4 linked regions of the Drosophila melanogaster genome follow. The protein of the gene in region 1 interacts with the protein of each later gene in a pairwise test. Each region holds a gene or a part of one and is shown on either strand. Other genes may lie near its edges.

Region 1 (3,996 bases):
GATGGATTGTGAGGAGAAACTTTAAGAAGATGAAGGCGGCAATTACGATCGTGCGCGCCTATAAGGCCTACAAACTGCGTAGCTACGTCCAGGAGCTGGCCAATCGCTTACGGAAAGCCAAGCAGATGCGCGACTACGGCAAGAGCATCCAGTGGCCACAGCCGCCGCTCGCCGGACGTAAGGTGGAGGCTAAACTGCATCGTATGTTCGATTTCTGGCGAGCCAACATGATCCTGCACAAATATCCTCGCAGCGAGTGGCCGCAATTACGTCTGCAGATTATCGCCGCCACTGCGCTGGCCGGAAGACGACCCTATTGGGGTCAAGCGCGCCGCTGGGTGGGTGATTATCTGGCCAACTCGCAGGAGAACAGCGGATATGAAGCCTACAACGGAAGCATAAAGAACATAAGGAACCACCCCGCCGACGGCGAGACCTTCCAGCAAGTGCTCTTCTCCTCATTCGTCAAGAAGTTCAACCATTTCAACAAGCAGGCTAATCGCGCCTTCATCGTTTCCGATTCGACCATCCACAAACTGGACGGTATCAAGAATAAATTTAAGGACATGAAACGCACCATTAAAATTAGGGAGGTTAGTAGATAGTATAATAATATATTATATTATTATATTATAATATTAATTCCGTATCTTGACTTCGCTTACAGTTGACGTCCATTAGTGTCTCACCCGGCCGGGATCAACTAATCGTCTTCCACTCGTCGAAAAACAAGGATTTAGTGTTTTCCCTGGAGAGCGAGTACACGCCCCTCAAGGAAGATCGCATTGGCGAAGTGGTGGGCATTGTGTGCAAGAAATACCATGAGTAAGTGGAACGCCCATTTAGTATGTTCACCAGATATTAATATCAAATCCTTTCCAGCCTCACTGGAACCGAGTTGCGTGTGAATGTGACCACCAATATTTCCTGTCGCCTAGACGGCAAGGCACGCATTATTACCGTGGAGGCGGCGTCCAATGTGGAGGTCCCCAACTTCCGTCCTAAAGAGGGCAACATCATTTTCGAGGTGCCGGCGGCGTACTGCGTTTAGGCGGAATCAACTCCGCCCAACTGTATTGTAAATTATGGAACCTAGTTTTAAGACTGGGCTCATCACCCTCTTTTCTACTTGTGACCCATGTGTCCCACCAAGGACATGACGACTCTGTGTATACCGTGCCTTCCGCCAAACACCCGCTTTGTAGTTTTTAATACGTCATTCTATAGTTAGTCCTATCTGTTTATCTGTTCTGTGTGTGACGACATGATTGTAATTTTGTACATTTTTCTATTATGCGTATGCGTTAAGGCGATATTTATTTAACATCCATGTGAGAGGAATACCACCTCCGCCGGTTGAGCTGGCCGACGAAAAGAACGAAAAGTATTAAATGTACTTTGTGCATTTCTTCAAATATGATTCACAGCACACAAGAAACCATTTGTAACGATCAGTAAAATGTTTGTACTTAAAGCGAAAGATCACAAACATATGTGTGCCATTTGCAAATATTATTGAAATAATATATGAAATAAAAGATGTAAACTTTGTACTTGAGAAAGCTGGTTAATGACTATTTTTTTATATCAATAAGTTAAAGAGAAGTTAACTTACCAAACATAAGCATAATGTGCATAAGTTCCCTATCCCAACCTTGATCTGAATTGAACCCATTCAAAATTTCGGTCATTTCGTCATGAATTCCCCCAAAATGTGCGTTCGGCATTTGAATATCTGTGAGTTTCTGCATCTGTGAATCTTTTTCAAATGCTGCTTTAAATCCAAACGTAAAATCCGTACGCATTCGTATGCGAATGCGATCAAAATGTATTGGCAGAGACCGAAATAAAGTGCACATGGCTCGCCGCCGATTGATAAAAGATAAAAATAAAGAGATCGGCCTCTCTTTATGCGGAATGTGCGCTCGCATTCGCCTGTAAATTCTCGAAGGGAACGCGTGCAATTCGGAGCATCGAAGCACCCAAGGTGATTACATAAAGCCAGAAAACCAGAACCATGCAGAAGGCCATCAAGAAGGAGCTCAGCTTCTCGCTGGACACGCTGGAGCGCTATAGGGCCAAGTACGGACGCAGTGCATCGCTGGACACAAACGGCACACCAATTGCACACACAGACGGCGACCAGGCTGCTCCTGCGCCGCCACCGCCCTCGATCTTCACAAAGTCGTTGTCGCCACCAAAGATGACCAAGCTTCAGGAGTTGCAGCAGAAGAAGGAGGCCTATTTAAGGGCCAAGGAGCACGAGCGGGAAATGGAGCAGCTGCAGCGCACAGAAAGAAGGTCCATCATAAATGGTTCGGATACGCCCAAGCCCAAGACAGGCAGTCCAACGAGCACTTCACCGACTCCCAATGCAAGTTCCTCGTCAACCGCTGCCGTGGCTACCAAGACCTCCAGTCCAGCTGGCTACACCAACTGGTCGAATCACCATGCCACACTCTGCTCCCAGTCGTGGGTGGCCATCTCCGAGCTCATGTACTTTTGCGACAAGTATGAGTTCACCACCCTCAGCACACGCGATCTGAGGACGCACCAGGAGATCGTGGCCGAGGTGAGAGCTCTGCTGTCCGGCAAGGCGCCCTTCGATCAACGCACCCGCTTCCCGGGTAACATTCACGATCCGGAGAACTTGTGGGTTTGCATCGGTCGCTGTGCCAGCGTGGAATACCATCTGCAGCGCATCATCAGCATCTTTCGCAAACCTCTCAATCAATTGACACCGGACAAACAGCGAACGGTGCGTCAGAATTTCCACCTGGCGGTCAGCGAACTGCGGCTGGACATCTCGGCGAGGATTAGCGAGGTGCGGCTGTACGATCGCCTGGTCTTTGAGCGCGAGTTCCGGCTGGAGTGGCTGGATGAGGAGGCCTAGTGGATTAAATGGTTTAAAGGATGAGTTAGGTGGACAATAACGTTTATTGGCAATTCTTCGCTCTTTTTTGCGGTGCGCGGTGGAAAAAACGGTTACAAAAATACACTTGGACACAGGAGGCCGGAGCATGGAGCACACGACTATGGTAACCAGTGTGCTGGCTGCTCCATTCAACATACATATAAGGGGTATCTCGTCAACTGATCATCATTATGATTTCTTTGGCTGCAATTGATTTGCTTAGTAGTTAACGTAAGGAACATTTTCAATCAGAAAGATTTTACATAAATTCTGTGTAGATTCTATTGTACAAAGCATTAGGACAATCATAATCAAAATCAGTTGTCGCACATGCCCATATACAAAGTTAACCACATATTTCACAAATCTAGGCCATGGATTCCTGCAACAACTGCTCGCACAACTAAATCTAAAGGCCGCCGGCGGTCAGGTGGAATCTGAGGATACAGCTCGAGCCTGTCCGCCGATCAGGACAACTTATTGCTCCGTAATACGTAATACAAACATTTATATATATGTACACAATGCTAGCGGTATAAATAAAGCACTTTTGTGTGGGCCAACATGGATTTGCTTGCGAACAAGTGTGCTGCTAGTGCGGAGTGCTTTAACATCTAGCGGAAGATTCAGGTTGCAGATTATCATAGTTCTTTTTGGATCCCAGGGATCTCTTCAGTGGGTTCGTTTAACGTGCAGCTAGTCAACATCTGTGTAATCTGTAATCTTTAATGCCAAAGAACATCGAATGGCGGAATGAACCTAGCAGAACTTGAGCTTCATCTTGCTGGTCTTGGGCACATTACGGATGGTGAGGGAGATGCGCGGCGATCGGCGTACTAAGTGATCCCCGATCTTGTAGGTATTCTCGCACAGATCGTAGTTGGAGATGCGATCGCAGAGCACATCCTCGCTAGTCTCGGAGATGGCGTGCAGATAGTCGGTGTACAGCGTGTCCTTGAGGATGAGCAGGCTGCGCGGTTCCAGCAGCAGCTTGAAGAGCACTTCACGGGTCGTCTGATCTCCAGCTTCTGTTTCAGTTGTGGTGTCCTCACGCTTGACAAACTCCAGCACGGTATGAGCAC
Region 2 (4,553 bases), on another chromosome or scaffold:
TCAAAAATGCAAAATTTATCAGCGATAGCCCAGAAAAGATAACTAAAATGTGTGCTGTTCTACAGCAAATTGGGCGAGGCGTAGAAATCAATTTCAAATTTGTTGATATTACGGGGCAAGAAAACTGAAAATAGAAGCCGCTACAATGGATCCACAGATATAGATAGCGGCTACTTGGATGTTCGTCGTACGTCAGTGATTCAGGCAACTTGGTGGGGCCCAAACGAAATCCAAACGGAAACCGAAACCAATTGAGAATACACATTAAGTGAGTGGGTTTCTGAGGAGGGGAAAGCGATCGTTTAGTATTCCCTAATTGGTATACCCGTGTCTGTCACACTGTGCAGAAATTGCATAATGCCCGGGCCAAAACCACCACATCACGTGTCTGGTTCGTCTGGCACCTGACAGACCCGCGAAGATACTTCAGTTCGGATTGGTTCTGGTCGGAGGAAGTTAATGGAGATGATGGGGCTGTGGGCCAGACAGAACAAGAGAAATTGAAAGCCATTAAGTACCTTTAAAAATAAAAGCGGAATACTACTAACCGCATGGCCCACTGGGATGATACATGGGAGAGCTATACATACATATATGCGCGTGGATATATGTTGCTTCAATTATTCAAGAGTACACCGAAAACAGAGACTTGTGACCACAAAAAGCAAAGAAATTACGCACGAAAAATATCTTTAAAATGCCATAAGTTGTATATAGATACACAGCCAGCGCAGACTCATCAGATACACAAGCACACACATCGGCCAGAAGATACATATAAGCAAACTCGAACTGTGGCAAACTATTTCCGTATTGAGTTCTCTTCTTAATGCCCTGCATTGAGCCATTTTGGGTATATTGCACGAAAGTTTTTTAGATCAACCACTTAAAAAATTAAACAATTTAAGTGGTTGGAAAACGGTTTATCTGATTTCATTTGACCTCTAAATTCTTTATTTTCTCTTAATGTCTTACATCTTTCATTCCTGAGCATTTATCAACCGAAATTCAAGACAAAAATGTGTTTGTGACATTTAAAAAAATTTATTTTCGAAAGCATATATTCGTTAGCTTAAATTCCACAAACAAATTATGTACGTGTTCCAAAAACATTTTCTAATATTTATGAATGTGCCGAATATATTTTCGAGCCGTGCGTTTCTTTTCTGCTCATCTCGGATTTTATGAGTTTGTTTGGCTTGTGAAAATTGCATTGACCTAGAAGTCATATTGTTGTTTTTTTTTTCGGTCTCTTTGGTATTTTGATGTCTTTGGAATACCCTGCATTCTGATTCTGATTCTGTTTTGGTTTTGCACATTTCTCTCCCGCTCTCCCGTACGACTTTCTGTTTTCTACGTACATGTATGTATTGTGAACATGAGCATCGTTATGAATTCCCCGATTTTCCTTTTTGTGTGTATATTTTCAAATACTTGCCACTGTGCATCCGAATCGGGCTGTCTGTAAAAATGTGTGTGAGTGGGAGACTGGGGAGCTAGCTCCCGGCTGAGATCGTGGAAAGCCCACGGCCCATTCCTTGTCCGTCGGTCGCCAGCGCCACGAGGAACGGGAAGCGCGATCTTAAAAAATATTTAAAAAACTTTTCACCCCGTGTCCCCGTTGCTCAAATCGAACATACCCCCAAAACGAGAGCGAAAGTTTAGTATTCAAAACGCAATTTAATTTGGCGAAAAAATATCGAGGCAATCGGAGACAAAGGCGCGATCTCGGCGGCGAAAAATAAACCTAAAAACATAACGATTTCGGACGCGTGCCAGGCGGTGGGCGGTGGGCGGGGCGGCGTAGACGCCGGCAGCGGCAGCGACGTCGCTGTTTTATTTTTTTATTTTCTTTTTTTTTTCGATTTTGCCGGCTGTCGTCGCGAGCAGAATGCCGCCGGCTCTCGGTTCTGGTTCTCAGTTCAGTTCTGTTTGAGTTTCTGGCGACGAGTGACACACACAGAGGGAACTAGAAATAAACGACACCGAAAAACGAAACAACACTTAGTTGTACTGTAGATTCTGGCTGATTAAGAAACACGAAACACGAAGTACTCACTTACACACAAAAACACATATATATCTCACACACAAGGAAAACTGCATTAGTTCAGATCGAGCGAAAGTGCCGTAGACGATGCCCAATAACCGCAATCGTAATCGCAATCGCAATCGCAACAAACGCAATCGAAACCAAAATCAAAATCAGAATCCGAGCCAAAACCAAAACGAAAACCATCAGCAGCAGGCAGAAGGGGCGGAGGATCGGGAGGAGCAGCAGGATTTCCAAACTCAGATCGCAGTAGCGCAATCTTCTTCCTTCGTAGATGATAATGGAAATTCTGGCAGCGTTTCAAATGGGCCAACGGAAAACAGCGAAGAGGTGACGAACACTCTTGAGAAAACCGAAAAAAAAGAAGAAATATTCGAGCAACCAGCAACAGTCATCCAAAAAGAAGCAGATTCAGACGCAGAAATGGGTGCCAAAAACTCAAAACATCGCAAGGAAAAGTCCGATAAGCAGGCGTCTAATGGAAAATCTGAAGAGCAGGTGCGTCCACCTCCCACCATTATAAGAAGGCCACCCGGTAGCCCCCGGCAAGCCAAGGTCATAGTTCATCGAATTGTGAGGGAAGAGGACACGGCCAATGGCAAAGCTCAATCTCCAGAGCCACCCAAAGCCGTGGAATCTAAGGAGCAGCACATGGAGGTCGAGGATTCAAAGAAGGAGAAACCTGAAGCTCAGCAGGAGATTGAAACTAAGGAAGAACGGGAAAATGAACCGAGTCCAAAGGAACTTCCTGAATCTAGTCATCTTTCGGAGGACGCACAGCAGAAACATGTCGAAGTTGAAGAGAATCAACAAGTTTATGATGAAGTGGACTACTCAAAGGATGAGACCACTGACAATAATCCACAGCAAGAGCAACACGATTCAAAGGAACCGGAGCAATATGTGTTGCAACTCGAAAAGGCAATGGAATTTGTGGAAAATGCACATCAGCAACACGTTGCTGCCGTGCAAAGTTATCAAAAACAGAGAGACACTGAGCAAAATGCACAGCAGCAGGAGCAAAATGAAGCACAGCACCTACAGGAATCAACTAAAGCGCATCAGCAAAATATTGCAGTTCCACAAATCCTTGTAGATCCGAAGAAGAGAGAAGAGGGCCTCGCACAGCAACTGCATCATGATGTGAAAGAGGAACCCATTTTGAATAACGCCCAACAGCAAAATGATGACACTGCACCGAAATCCCCAAAGGAAGTAACAATAAAAGTTCAGTTTCAAACAGAAGATCCTTATTCCCAGCAGCCTCCTCCACAGAAGCCCACCTCCAAGGTGATTATCCACCAGATACACGTGGAAACCACCGACGAAGAGCAAAATGCCAAGCCCACTTTCGAGGAGGTTAGCAGCACTACCGGTTCTCTGGCCGGAACCCTATCTCCACCACCTCGTTATTTGGTGGAGTCGCCGAAGAACGTGTCAAGTGGCCAGTTTTCGAACTTCTCGCGCAATGTGCAAATCCAGGAAATGGAACTGAACAGCGACTTCAGCTCCGGGGAATTCAATTCCCTGCAGTCGCCGCTGGTATGCGAAGTAGACTCGGAATCAGAGGGATCGGTAGTCTTGGGACCGGAGCGATCGCCGTCGGATCAGCAGGTGCCGTCCAGCAGCCGAGTAGAGCAGCATGAGCAGGTGCGCCAGAAACGTGCCCAGTATCGGAACGCTTTGGAATCGCACTTCATGCCGCAGTTGCTCAATCCCCGCTATCTGGACAGCATCCTGGAGGAGAATGAATGGAGAAACTCCACCGCCTCCTCTGGCGGAAGCGATCAGACGGGGATCCGCACTCCCAAGCTAAACGAGACCTTTCCCAGGAGTCAGTTGGACTTTAGTCGCAGACACAAGCGTAGGGAGGAGGCACCGTCGCCTCTTAAGCTCGAAACCAAGCTGCTGGAGGAGTCAACCGATCTGGAGAGCTGCACCCGACTGCAGAGCGCCCTGTCTCCACAGTCTGAAGATGCGGAGCTAGTTTACCTAAGCTCCTCGGCCTCCAGCAGCGTCTCTGACCTCATGGAACTAGAACTAGAGCAGGCTGCCGCCTTGGCGGAGAGAGCCCTCGTAGACTTGGATACGGATGCCAGTCGGTTGATTGCTCGGCCGGATGATGAGATGAGCAGCACTAGTACCACTACTGCAGACAGGAGCGAGACGGAAGCGGAAACGGAAACGGAGACGGAGAGAGAGGGCGAGCAGAGTCGCGAGAGCACACCTGTTAACGCCAACCCGACGCTCGCCAGTTCGCAGTCTTCGCTGCTGAGCGCCGCAACGCCGACGCCGACGCCGACGCCCACTCCCGCCGATCGAGAACAATTAGCAAAAGATACAAATGTATCTGGTGGATCGACTGTTAGTTTCGGGGCAGCATCGCCGCTAGCGGCCACGCGCGAGGAGTTCGTTCGCAATATGGACAAAGTGCGCGAGTTGATCGAGATGACGCGGCGCGAACAGGAGCAAGGTGAACTACCGCGATCGCCGTCGCCGC
Region 3 (8,031 bases), on another chromosome or scaffold:
AAAAACAAATATAAACACTACCAAAAAAGGAATATTACACCGTCAAATGAATTATGCTAACAAATCATTTATTATTTGGACAAATTGAATAATTTTGTAAGTGAGAAAAATAAACAGAACGAATGCTTCTGAATGGTTTTTGGATGCCTCTTGAATACTTTGAGCGTCCGAAAGCAAAAGGTGGTTCATGATACTTCAATTAAATTCTTGATAACATTTTAGATCTTTAGATGTTTCGACTATTTTAAAGATGTTCATAATTTTCTTGTCCTTTTGCTCATATTTTTTTATCTTTTGCTAGAATAAAACCAATTTAGAAATGTGCATTGTGGGAGGGAAATGTTAAAAAAGTGATGAATGGGATGATGAGTTCTACTCACTTCCAGGGGGCAAGCTGAAGCCCATAAAGCTGGCTCCAGATGCGGCGGCTCCTCCAGCTGCTCCTGCTGCTTGTTGTCCGGGTGGCGGTGGTCCACCTGGATAGCCATTTGGATTTCCATTCGGTTGCTGAAATCCGGGGGTATTAAATCCGCCAGGAACATTGCCGTATCCACCATATGGCTGTGGACCATTGTACGTCTGAGCCGGAGCGGCGTACGGCGGCTGTGGTGGACAATTTGGGGCACATGAAGCGTACGGCGGAGGTTGGACATAGCCACCGGCCCATCCTTGTGGCCCATAGCCCGGCTGCTGTTGTTGCTGCTGCGGCGGCGGCGCTGAAAAACCATACCAATTGGGTTCATTCGACGACGGTGCCTGCGGCTGTTGCGGTGCTGGTTGGTGAGCAGGTGGTGCTAAGACGAAAAAGAGAGGAGTGCCCCATTGGGTTAAACGAAGCGAGTGCGTAGCGTGAATTTCGTGGGTAAGCCAGGTTGCCAATTCGCGTAGCCAGCGTGCCAAAACAAAAGCCGAGTATAGATTGGGTAAAGTGCACGTGCGTTTAACTTACCGATACCCGGATACGGCGGCGGATTGTCGCTCATATAGACCGTATTCGGCGCAGGGCCGCTGAATGCGTCATGCTGCGGCAGCCAGCCATAGTAGCCAGGTGGTGGCTGATATGCCGGCGGTGGTGCCTCATTCCAGGATCCAGCCGGCTGATATGGTGGCGGATCATCACCAGCCAGACCACCGCGGTGGTAGTTGTTCATCGCCGTCTTGGCGGAGCGCAGTAGAGCTTGACCATATCTATAAGAAATGGACTTGTTAATCAGAACATTATATATTCTCTTGAGTCTATTCAGTATTAAGACTTATCAAGAGATCCGTCTAATTAGTTTTAATTTAGGTGCACAATGCACTTACTCAATTGCGCCGCCTGCCTTGAAATGGAGCTTGAACTTGACCTCGCCCACGTAGTTTCCATTTGGCTGAGCGCGAACCTTTCCCTTGATGTAGTTGGCCCCGAAAACGGGCTGTTCGATTTCCACATCCGAAAGAGCAACAAACGGGGCACTGAACGACTGCATCGAATCCGAGGACTTCTTGCTATTGAAGATCATTCGGTGGGAGGTGAGATAAATCCTGCCACCTTTGGAGCCCTTGAAGATGGGATTGTCCTGACCGGAGAACTCCATGGAGACACTGTCGCTGTGGAGCAGTATGCTGAAAGTGTAAAAGCAGTTAATTTGTGTGCCATATTTCTATCTTATCGCTGGAACATAGGCTAATTTCCTTTCAAATCGCCAGCCACACGTCAGTGTTTACATTTATGACGTCAGGGATGTTCAGCATTTTCAGTGTTAATTAAAGGACTTTTCCGTTAACTTACTACTCTCCAGCATGGATGAGCACGCCATTGTTGGCGTGAGCCGTATTAACCGACATGTCTCTTTAATTTTCCAACTGTTTTGAGTCCACAAAAATTTGCAAAAATTTCATACAACTACGTTTTGTTTTTCTAGAAAACTGACGACAGCTGATGATTCATAGTGAAAAGTGTGGCAGCGCCGAAATTATCGGATATCGATACTCTTTTTAGGGTGACCAGTACGAGCAGTCACTCATCTCTAAATATAATTAGTTTTTTTTTATACATACCTGTCGTACAATTACTGGGGCGTTAATATGCGTAAGTGATAAGATAATGATTTTAAAAAGCCCACAAAATGTGTAGCAAAGAAAATGGAATAAATAGAAAGGTCTGGGAAATTAAGAAACAACAGTATTTGCGGTGAATTCGACTTTTATCAGCAGGTGGGACTTACGCCATTTTGGGCACTTGCCACCCCCCAGCTTTTATTTCCTTTTTTTACCTATCGAAAATTGAGGTGCTCAGCTGATTGGTTATTTTGTTTTGCTACCGGCTTCGTTTGGGTTGTTATCTCTTTTAAAGCAAATTACAAACTGTGTACATTTTGCAGTACCGCTCTTTGGGACCATGCCGAATGGCGTCAGTTTGCCAAATCACCCGAATTTCCTCAACCAATTGGCAGCTGCAATTTCCACGGCGGCCTCGAGCACATCTGTCGTGGGAAATCCCTCTTCGCCCCCCAAACAGATCCAGAATAAGATGGCAAAACAACAACAACAACCACAGGGCAGTGCGCCCATGGATCTGGAGAATGAGAACGAACACTCTGCGGATGTGAGCTCCTCGACGATGCACAAGGAACCCAAGTTGCAGGCCACATCCAACTCGCTCACTCTGCCCGATTCGACGCAACTATACCTGAATGGCTTGGTGCACACACCACCTGGATATCTGTATTTTCCGGCCACCCAAGCGGGTGGTGCTACTGCACCCGGCAATCCATCCTCGGCTGCAGGGGGATCCACGCCGGCAGCTTCAGCAAACAGCACCGCCAATGCGCAAATGCTCATGGATCCTACGGCCATGATGGCGGCGGCGATGCAACAAATGCAACAGATGCACTATGCAGCGGCAGCAGCAGCCGGAATGACCACAGAAACCGGAGCTGGACTAGAAGCAACTCTTAATGCGGGTAATGAAAGCAATACCAAATTGGAACCTTAAATAAACATTCTAATAAAAACATACTTTTAGATGGCGTTACACCAGCTGGCCTCAAGGAGGTGATCAAGACCAAGAACTGCATCCTGTTTCCACCTAATCCGAACGCACCTCCTCCCACAATAAGGGAGCGACCACCAGGATGCCGGACGGTGTTTGTGGGTGGACTGCCGGAAAACATAACCGAAGAAGTGATCCGGGAGATCTTCGAATCATGCGGCGAGATCACCACATTGCGCATGTCCAAGAAGAACTTTTGCCATATTCGCTACCGCCAAGAGGGTGCCATAGATAGGGCCATCTACCTATCCGGCTATAGATTGCGTATATCAGCGCTAAATGAACCTCCCAACTTTGGACGCCTGCATGTGGACTACGCACAGGCACGGGATGATCAGTATGATTACGAGTGTCGACAGAGACAGCATCAGAGGGAACAGCGTCATCGTGAGCGCATGTCGATGGACAGGATGCGATCGCAGTCGCCGCCACCAATACCGCACTACACGGATCACGAGGCTACTACTGTTGCGGAGCACCTACGCACCAACGAGACTTTTGTAAAGGCCATTCAAACGATTACCGCGTGGCTGGAGCGGGGAGATTGCACTAAGCGGAACGCCAATGTCTTCTATTCGATGATCCAGAGCACTCATGCCCATGTACGAAGACTCCATGCAGACAAACTGCAACTGGAGGAGGATCTAAAGAAGGCCAGAGACAGCTATCGCAACCAAATGGGCACCATGTCCACGCAATGTAAGTATTTCGGCCTTTCAGCCGGAAGATCAGCTTTCTTAGCTCTAGTCTAGACGGGAAACTAGGCGCCGATCCCACTTTGAAATCCTATTTTTCTGTTTACGTTGCGCCCGGGTTAGCCTTTTAGCGTCTGTATATCTGAACAATCTACCAGCGTACTACACATCCAAACACCTACACCTACACTGAAAACACACCATACCCATCCTACACAATATTTAGCAAATCTAGTCATCGAATTATTAAATGCCAAACTCCACATATGAAACTACCGTCTAAAATTTGCTCGCCAATGGTCGCTGGAGCAAGCCCAATGAATCCAAGCAGGATCAGGTAAAGACTAGCCGAAAAAGACGAAGCCCAAGGCCGCCGCACAGCAAAAGTCAGTGGATGAGGCGACAATCGAGATTGCCTTTGTTCTAACATCTGAAAATGTTTTGTGATGGTATATGGAGCCTTAGCACAAGCATTGGCATTTGAAAGATTAATGCATTTACTAGGAAGTTCAGTCGTTTTAATACGTTTTACTAAATTATTACTGCCAATTAACTACCGCTAATAAGTATTAAATCAAAAACCCGCTTAAATTATCAATTATTTTGATAATTAATATTAATGTAAAACTATAAAACTACATTTCGCATTCATTTAACAGTTTGATTTCCTGATTAAAATGGAATATCATTTCTTATTCAATCATGTTTATTTAAAAAGTTGGTCGCCCTTTTCACTGATTCGCTCCACTGTGCGGCTGATCCTCACTCACTTTCACTGTGTCTCGACACCACCACAAAAGTCTTAAGTCTTATTTGGCCCAAAAGGTTTGTAAGCCGCAAGGCAGAGAGCAAATTGAAACAATTGGTACAGTAATGGATTGAGAGGTCCTTGTAGAGCATCTCAGATAATCTCAGACTCGGACAAACGTAAAGATAGGTAATCACGCTGTTGTATTCTCTCTAGATTGTACCTAATATATCAACCTTAAATAATCGTAACTACTCTAATTAAATAATTGCTATGCGAGGGTTTCTCCTGTAGTTTAATTTCAATTTTTCATTTCTCACTCATTTTATTCGCAAAGAGAACAAGTCTAGTTTGACAAAGGTGAAGAGCAAAACTGAAAACCAATCCAGATAAACAAACAATCAAAAAAAAAAAAAAATACCCTCTGTCCTCCCTTAATATTATTATATATTATTGCATTATTGTTCAGTCACTCAGATTGAAAAAGTGTTCAATGCCGCTAGTCACAAGAAGGTTTGGGACCATTTCACCAAAGCCCAAAGAAAAAACATCGATCAATGGAAGAAATTAGCCACGGTACGTACTAAAATGTTCAAATAATCAAATACGAACAATTTCAAAGATGTTGCAAATTGTGTAAAAACAAAAAATACATTTATTGTCCAATAACTTCGATTCACTGTTGTATCTCTTGGTTTCATAATGTTGTATCCGTTTATGTTGATGTTGTTATCATCGTTGTGGTGTTGCAGTAGATTTCTAACCATTTTACTAACGCAATTTCTGTTATCATTCAGCATGTCGCCCATTCACCCGTCCTATATAATCATATGGTACTATTCCATTGGTGACGCTTATAGCTGCTAATTGCTTTTTATTAATTGTTAATTTCTTTTATTTGTCCCGTGCATTAAGACTCTTTTTAGCTGTTTGTGTTTTTGATTATCGAAATTTCCAAATCAGTTGTGATGTCACTAAAAAAGAAACAATATTAATATTAATGTAATTTGCAAGCTTAAAATGTACTATCGTTTAAATTATGTAGAATTAGATATATGAATAAGATTATTTTAAGGGAAACTGTTAAAAAACTAGTTAACTATATTACTATATTTCTAAGAATTCATTTTACAAAGTAAAAGTGCGTTTTTTAAACAGTTTCCTGATCATAAACACTCATTAGTATCTTTCTAAATATGAGGTCTTTTACTTTTATTGCTTTCGCTCTTGATCTGTAATGCTTTGGTCTATCTTTTCTTGGCTTTCAAGTATCATTTGTTGTTGTACTATCTCTATTTTTAACTAAGCATTTGCATAACATTTCCGATACGCTTTAAATACATCGAACTAAAAGTAAACCTTAGCCGAGTGTCCACAAACCTTCAAGTTTCTATGGGAAATTGAATTTTATAGAAAACGAGGAAGGTTTTGATGGGCACTCAGTGAAATCGATTGGTTGTGGTAAATAGCAAAAGGAAGAACTAAAAACATTGCTGCTGTGAAACATAATTTGTGCAACAAATACAAATTAATTTTTAATAGCAAAAAGAAATTAATCGAAACAAATTCTAAAACTTTTTGAAAATGTGGCGAGGTAAGTAAGCGGACCAGAACAGAGTCGTAAGCAAGGAAACAAATTTGATGCATTATTTAAATACACAAATTTTATAGCTAGGTTATAATAGTGTAAGCAATGGTACTCAAACCAAACGAAACCTATCCAACTAGTAGCAACGGATAATTAATTGAAGTTCCTTTCGCATGCCACGCAGGAACTTCGAACTGTCCAGATCACAGATGATGATGAAATGGAAATCTCCGACGATGAGCGGGACTACGATAGACGCGGACACAGCGCCAAGCGAATTCGCTACGACAGTGATGGCTTAAAAGTATGTTTATCAAATAGTTTAGTATAAGTAACTTGAAATAAAATAAAGATTTTAAATTGGATCAGGACGAGAACGACTCTCTACGCTGTCAACTGGAGGCCATTCGTCACGAGATGACGCTGGAGCGCAGTGATTATGTTCAGCGCGAAAAGCAGATAAAGGTACTTCAGGAAACCATTCGCAACATGCAGACCCAGTTGCTGCAGACGAAGCTACGCGAACAGAAGGACAACAAGACCATTGAGCAGTTGGAACGAAATCTCAAGGATGCCGGCATTAAGCAACTTCTGTTGAAGACCAAAATTAAGGAAACAGTGGACAAATTAAGGGACAAAGAGGCAAATAGCGCTGGAGCCTCAAATGCTTCAAACGCCTCAAATCTCGACTACAGCAGCGGGGATTCGTGTAGCCGGGAAGGCACAGAAATTATCCGCCCACAGGCAGAACCGGAAATAATTGATATCGATAAAGTGGATGATGATGTCCGCATCATAGAGCACCAAAGCGGTGTGGTGGAGATACACGAGATCGAGGACGATGAAAAGCAGGAGCCCGCTAAGGATTCTACGAAAAGCAAAGCAAATGAGTCAATTATGGAAAATGTTTCAAAGTCGAATCATGAGGAGACTATAAACAAAAGCAGCAAAGAGCAAATCCCAACAGTGGCCGCGGAAGAGGTTAGTAATGAGAATTATTTGTGTAACTATATATATATATAGATTTAATTACTTAATTTATCTTAGTTTTACATGCATCTAATTATTTCATACATTCCCTTGCATATTTCTAATCACTATTCCTTGTTTTAGGTGACTTTCAAGTCGCTAGTCTTGTCTGAAGCCAAGATAATTGCTCTGGCCTCAGCCTATCTGGTGCTGCATCCCTATGGCGTTGAAATCGCCAACATAGCCAGTTACTTAAGCGAAATGCTGCGCAATAACGCTGCCCCCAGTAACCATGATGATCTAGCCAATATACTCGGAAAGTACACAAATCTCTTCAAGCCGGAAAAGGAGAAGTGGAGATTCTGTGGCTTCAGCGAACCAACTGAATCTCAGACGGAGTCAAAGTGAGGGGATGAATGCGGAATGTAGACTCGAATAAGATGACAATTAAATGCTTTAATTATCTTACAACTATATCATAATGAGTAGCGAGTAAGCGGAGGAAAGTGAAATGTTAACCAAAGGAAAGACGCAAGTTTTTCAATGAAATCACGACTTAATGAGACCAGATCCAGGTTTAAGGGCAAGTACTCGAAGTTAACTCAATCGGAAGAAAGACACCACAAACTAACTACCGTTTCAATTATTTAAATAACTCAACCTAAAGAATATATATACACTTAAGCTAAATGAATTCAATATATACAAAATATATATACATCAATATTTTAAATAAACTGAGAGGCAGAAGGTCGCGTTGCTTTTGTTGAACGGAAGCGAAAGAATGGAACCAAATAAATTGTATGCTAAACTACAAAGAGTTTTCTTTAATTTGAATCAGATAAAATATTTGGTTAATGACACAAACACACATCTTTCAAGAGAGCTTAATCTTGAAATCGAATACAGCATCTTAAATATTTTGAGATTTCCATACTTATTTTTAAAATTGATTTTATTAAAATAAAATTAAACTTAATTTATGAGTTTGGTTATC
Region 4 (5,159 bases), on another chromosome or scaffold:
CTGCTGAAGGTAGGTACACACCCGTGCATTGTTGCCTCATTACACTAACAACTATTTCATGTTCAGGACAATTACGATAACACGTTTCTGCGGCGCGTTTATACGTATCCCATTGTTACGTACGATGAGCTGCGGCGAAACCTGATTAGGTGAGTTGATATATGATATATAGAAAGTATCTACATAATTCCAATTATGGTGTTGCAGAATCGAAGGTCCAGTTCGCATTCAATACACTACTAGGGAGCAGTACAAGCGGACAACTAAGATGCTGGGTCTTATGGATGATTTCAAGGTAGATCAATCAATCTATGTGCTTGAAACTATGATTATTCTTAATCTTTGTAGAGCGGTGTTCCGCGGACTGCCTACCATGGCATCGTCTCCTTCTACTACAACAAACGGCGCGTGCATCTGGCACCCAACGCCAACTGGAAGGGCTACGAGCTCTCTTGGAGCTAACGACGCTAAGGACAGAGTACCGCCAGCTCCACTTCCATTACCACGCAGCTAGCTCCGCGTGCTTGCAATACCAAAAATAGCCCTATGAGTTTTAATTTTTATTTGACCAATTAGCTAAGTTGTAACTATGGAATCTCCTCGAACAGTAGACGCTGTTCGCAGCCATCGCGTAGGCAGGAGTACTTGGAGTACTAGCCCTGATTTCTGATAGAAAACGCAATTCGTCTGCTCCAGATCCCTAGCCTACGGACCTACTGTTGGCGTAACAAAATCAAATCAAATGAGTCTCCACTATGTATAGTAGTCAACCGAACCGAACTGTGTGTGGCAAGAGCCAAAAGTGTTCCATTCTAGCACACCAGCCACACAAGCAACGCAATGAATTGTAAATAAGTCAGTGTCGTTCGCTTTTGTTACAGCTCTCTCTATCTGTCTATCTCTCTCAATTTATCGTGTTAAATTGCAAATAGTTATAGCAATGGTTAAGTTATAGTATGCAGCGTGTAATTTGTAGCATTTAAGTTGATCCAACTAGAGTTCTAACGGCAACGGACGTGTAATATTTGTGATTTTTGATTATTTAATTTACATTTATTAATTGTTGAGAGCCAGTCAGTAAACAGTACCCGACCCACACAATGTAACATAGAATAGCAATAACTAGCGCTAGTACTAGTACTAGAACCACAACGTAAACTAGACCAGTGCTGAGCCACCAGGGGTACGCCAGTAATCCCGGCCAGATCTGAAAGTGTGCCACTCTCAGCTAGTTGTAATGGAATCAACCCAGACAGGACACCTACTCTACTACCCCCTATGACTACACTTTGTATGAGCATATTTTTGTGTGTATGAGAGACGTACGGAACATAAATTCTAAAGACAACCAATCGCCTTTTCACTCCGCAGCAGGTGGCTCCTCATCCTCGTCCAGATGCTCGCAGTCAATGTCGCTGCACTCGGACTCCGATTGTGTGGGTCTGCGGCTCCGCTGCGCCTGATTTAATCCATCGTGGCCGTAGGCTGTGGCTGTTCCAGCGACTGGCGTGCTGCGTTGTTGCAGAAAGTTGGCATTGGCATCCCCAAAGACGCGTTCCAGTTCGGCGAGGCCATTGGAGGCGCCGCTTTCCGCTTCCGGCGGCAGCGTCGCGTACTTCATTTGCAGATAGCTCTCGTTCGTTGGCAGTGACGCCGCGTAGTCCACATAGCTGGTCGCATACGGCTTGCAGCGAGGGATGTAGCTGGCCGCAGGCACACCACCCGCCGGCGGCTTAGCCACGCCAAAGGGCAGGGCGAAGTTCAAGGGTTGTCCACGTGCCAGTATGGCATTACGGGCACTCTCCATCACACTGGGACCCGGCAACGGTGGCATTCCGCCGCTAGTCGCGTACGGACGCATGGGTGAGCCGGTGGCCGTCGTTGCTGAGGCCATGGGTGCAGCGGAGCCACTGCCATTTAGCATAATGGACTGAATGGGCGTGGGACCCGTTGGCGTTTGGCTAAAGAGCCAAAGGCGATCACCAACCACCATCGGCCTGGCCAATCCCCCGATACCCAGCTGGGCGTAATAGTGCGAGGCCAGCGTTTCCACGTCCGAGGTGTACTTGCGCTTCCACTTGGTGCGGCGGTTTTGGAACCAGATCTTGATCTGAAAAGTGAAATGAATGAATGAATTATTTACGAGGAATGCCAATTGTATCTCATAGATACAAGGGATTTCATTTCATGTTATTAATCGCTTTTAGATAGAATGGCAAACTTTTTTGGGTAGTAATTAAATTTTTTGATAGATTCCACAACTAACCTGCGTTTCTGTGAGCTGCAGCTGCTTGGCCAGTGCAGTTCGCTTCGCCACCGAAAGATACTTTCCCCTTTCGAACTCCGTTTCCAGTGCTTTGATTTGAGCTGCCGAGAAGGCGGTACGCGGTCGCTTTTTGCGGTCATCACCAAGGCCTGCAATGGAATCAAAGTGGGAAATCGAAATCCCAATTAGACATTTATTGCTACCGACAGCGGGCAATCCGGCGCGCGGTGCCAACTATTTTCGCCTAATGGTAATTTGTCGATCCGTTGTTGGCACAGTTGTATGTGTATGTAAAATGCCCCGTCGCACCGCAAAACCCCTGGCAAATTGCAAATCACACTGTTGCATTTCACTTAGCCAAGGCGTCTAATTGGCCATTTTGGCATACATTCTCTTGGCCGACCGAAAACAAATAGCCATATAAATTCCTTCTTAACGGGTGGAAGAATATCTCCTTTGAGATCGCCAGCGATCTTTGTTCGCTTGTGACATTTGCATCATTAGTCGACTGCGTTGGTGTCGACGAAAATGTGGATATGGAATGGATGGCTTATTCCCTGTCACCCAGAAGCTAATTTCTGATCATTTGTTTCTTGATCGCACGGATGACAGATGAGATCATTCAGCCATAGGCACTCACTCATTCGTTCAGGTGGGAAACTCATTGCATATTTACATACAATAATGAACGGCTGTGCTGAGCTCGTTATGGGTGATTCCATTAGGAGGTAAATCATCTTTTAGAGACATTTTTTTTCAGAATTTAAAATTTGTATATTGTAACTGTATTATTTGAAAGATCCTTGATAATTCCTTGAACCTTGATAATACTACACTTAAAAGCACTAAAGCACTGACTATTTGGCTGTTGGTGCTATTTATCCTGATGAAGTTCAGTATAAATCTATATTTTGTATATTTGCTATTTAATAAGGATCCAATTGAGCTTTAAGTTAAGTTTTTAGATCCCAAATCCAATTCCAGACACCAAAATTCTCGTCGTTGTAAAGCTTATATTCCGGCATATCGATCATACGCACCGTTTCCATCATCTGAGGCCAAATCGATATCACTTTTGCCGTCGTCCATGTTGTCATCCAAGCAACTCGATGTTGCCGGACTGGAAGCCCGTGAAGCACCGAGACAATTGCCACCGCGACCGCTTTCATCCTGCACGGAGTCCTCAAAGGAAGTGGAGCTGCGCATTTCCGGCTTGGCCAGAATTTGTTCGATGGAAAAACTGTGTGGATAGCGACGCACTGCCGATTGCGAATTCATGTTTCCGCCGATTGCGAGCGATATATATTTTGAAGATATTCCGGAGACAACAGCGCGCGTGGAGATCTTACGGAAAACTAATTTGAATATGCGGAGCATCCTGCTCACTGGCCGATTTTTCAAGATGATCGCCTGGCGGGGCGGAGCCTAAAATCATATATCTCCGCACCGCTCACACCATATGCGCAAATAGAACGACAGAAAGGAACAGAAACATACTATTCGATTTTCACTGAAGACAGCACACAAGTTCGGTTATTTTTAAAACATGTGTGAAATGTTTGGGATGAGGGGCGTGGCTCGCGTTCAACGCCGTCTTCTGGGTTTTCGAAATTGTTTTTGTCGCCTTGCCCGTGATTAAAAGTCATAATTTTTGGCTAATTGTCTACAAGTAGCGCTATTTAATATTTCGATGGCTTTGCTAAATATATTTAATACGTTTGCCAACATATTTCATCCATTTGATTAATGAACGGCGAGCAATTTCTTTGACTGGATTTGTTTTCAGTGCTTTGGTGTGCAGGCACGTGTCCTCTTTTGGGTTAATTCAGAATTCTTTAAACAATGCAGCATTCAAAAAATTGTATTCAAATGTACAAATGGTTTCTTTGTCGATTTTTTGGAATTTTTTAAATCTCTTAACAAAGTAATACAAGGCCATTAGTCTAAGTGATTGTAACGCAATGCATAATTGGGTTCTACTAGCTTGAGAAACATTTTTAATGTGTATAATATATTCAATTTAAATCTGAGAAACAGTAATTTTGAAGCACAACATTTTTTGAATCATAACTTAATTGTTGAGTTTTTAGAACACCTTCCTTACAGATATTTCATATTATAACTTTCTATTTCTTTGAATCCCAATCCCAAGCCCCCTGTAAAAATTTCATTAATTCGAAATTATGAACACATAATTCAGACAGAATGGAAAATGGAAAAGGGGCACTCAGGATCCGAATGGAGGGGAGGATCTGAGAAATTAGCCGGCGGCCTGGCTGACACTAGTTTCCAATTGGCCAGCAGCCAAATCCACAACATCTACTGGGCTACAGGGTGCCCATTCCTGGATGCGCGGATGCCCCATGATAACGTCTTCATTATTCAGGCGCGATTTGAACAAAATATCTGAAAACACGTTAATTAGTCGCCGAGATGGCGGAGCAAAAAGGGGAAAGGGGACGAATCGCAGGGCATCCATTTAGCCGGCCGGGCTGTCAGTTTGATTTAATTTAATGAGAATTCTGGCGGGGATTCGGATTCGGTTGCGGATGCGGGGGGGATCTAGATCTGCTTATGAGGCCGCATGCCCGAGTGTCGCGGGCACTCAAATCAAAATGACAACTTAATTTTCATAATTGCGCTTAATGAATATTCGACTATTGCTTGCCATATTTCAAATTCCACTGCCAAACAGAATGCAGACTTTGTTTCGACTTCGTCATTTTTGAGTATTTACCAATTTGTTGGCTACTTTATAACCTATCTATCCATGGGTATCTATGGAATCACATTCAAGCCGAACATCTGAACATAAGTATTCTATTCTATCTTGTTTTGGCTAAGTCAATATATTAAGTTTCCTAACTGGATCAGAGAAATCTGAGGAAGGAAA

Evidence for each region.
Region 2: the proteins of CG13144 (region 1) and CAP interact in a two-hybrid assay, tested with the Drosophila melanogaster proteins (one large-scale study listed by BioGRID).
Region 3: the proteins of CG13144 (region 1) and CG10948 interact in a two-hybrid assay, tested with the Drosophila melanogaster proteins (one large-scale study listed by BioGRID).
Region 4: the proteins of CG13144 (region 1) and lms interact in a two-hybrid assay, tested with the Drosophila melanogaster proteins (one large-scale study listed by BioGRID).

What each region holds. Positions count from the first base shown.
Region 1 is NT_033779.5:10,489,386-10,493,381, reverse strand, and holds CG13144 (uncharacterized protein), read left to right. Parts: upstream 1-1,927; 5' UTR 1,928-2,017; coding exon 2,018-2,893; 3' UTR 2,894-3,482; downstream 3,483-3,996. Other genes in the region: Myo31DF (myosin 31DF), read left to right, coding at 1-593, 668-825, 883-1,051; CG6144 (uncharacterized protein), read right to left, coding at 3,674-3,996.
Region 2 is NT_033778.4:10,277,204-10,281,756, forward strand, and holds the start of CAP (CAP), read left to right. Parts: upstream 1-1,532; 5' UTR 1,533-2,137; coding exon 2,138-4,553.
Region 3 is NT_037436.4:12,844,072-12,852,102, reverse strand, and holds CG10948 (uncharacterized protein), read left to right. Parts: upstream 1-1,985; 5' UTR 1,986-2,067; coding exon 2,068-2,071; intron 2,072-2,311; exon of another isoform or gene 2,312-2,363; coding exon 2,364-2,945; intron 2,946-3,007; coding exon 3,008-3,733; intron 3,734-4,946; coding exon 4,947-5,053; intron 5,054-6,249; coding exon 6,250-6,369; intron 6,370-6,434; coding exon 6,435-7,046; intron 7,047-7,178; coding exon 7,179-7,442; 3' UTR 7,443-7,849; downstream 7,850-8,031. Other genes in the region: Wbp2 (WW domain binding protein 2), read right to left, coding at 381-794, 950-1,188, 1,306-1,605, 1,772-1,827.
Region 4 is NT_033778.4:20,555,343-20,560,501, reverse strand, and holds lms (lateral muscles scarcer), read right to left. Parts: upstream 3,626-5,159; 5' UTR 3,545-3,625; coding exon 3,307-3,544; intron 2,416-3,306; coding exon 2,267-2,415; intron 2,111-2,266; coding exon 1,361-2,110; 3' UTR 549-1,360; downstream 1-548. Other genes in the region: Mgat1 (mannosyl (alpha-1,3-)-glycoprotein beta-1,2-N-acetylglucosaminyltransferase), read left to right, coding at 1-9, 67-149, 208-295, 349-462.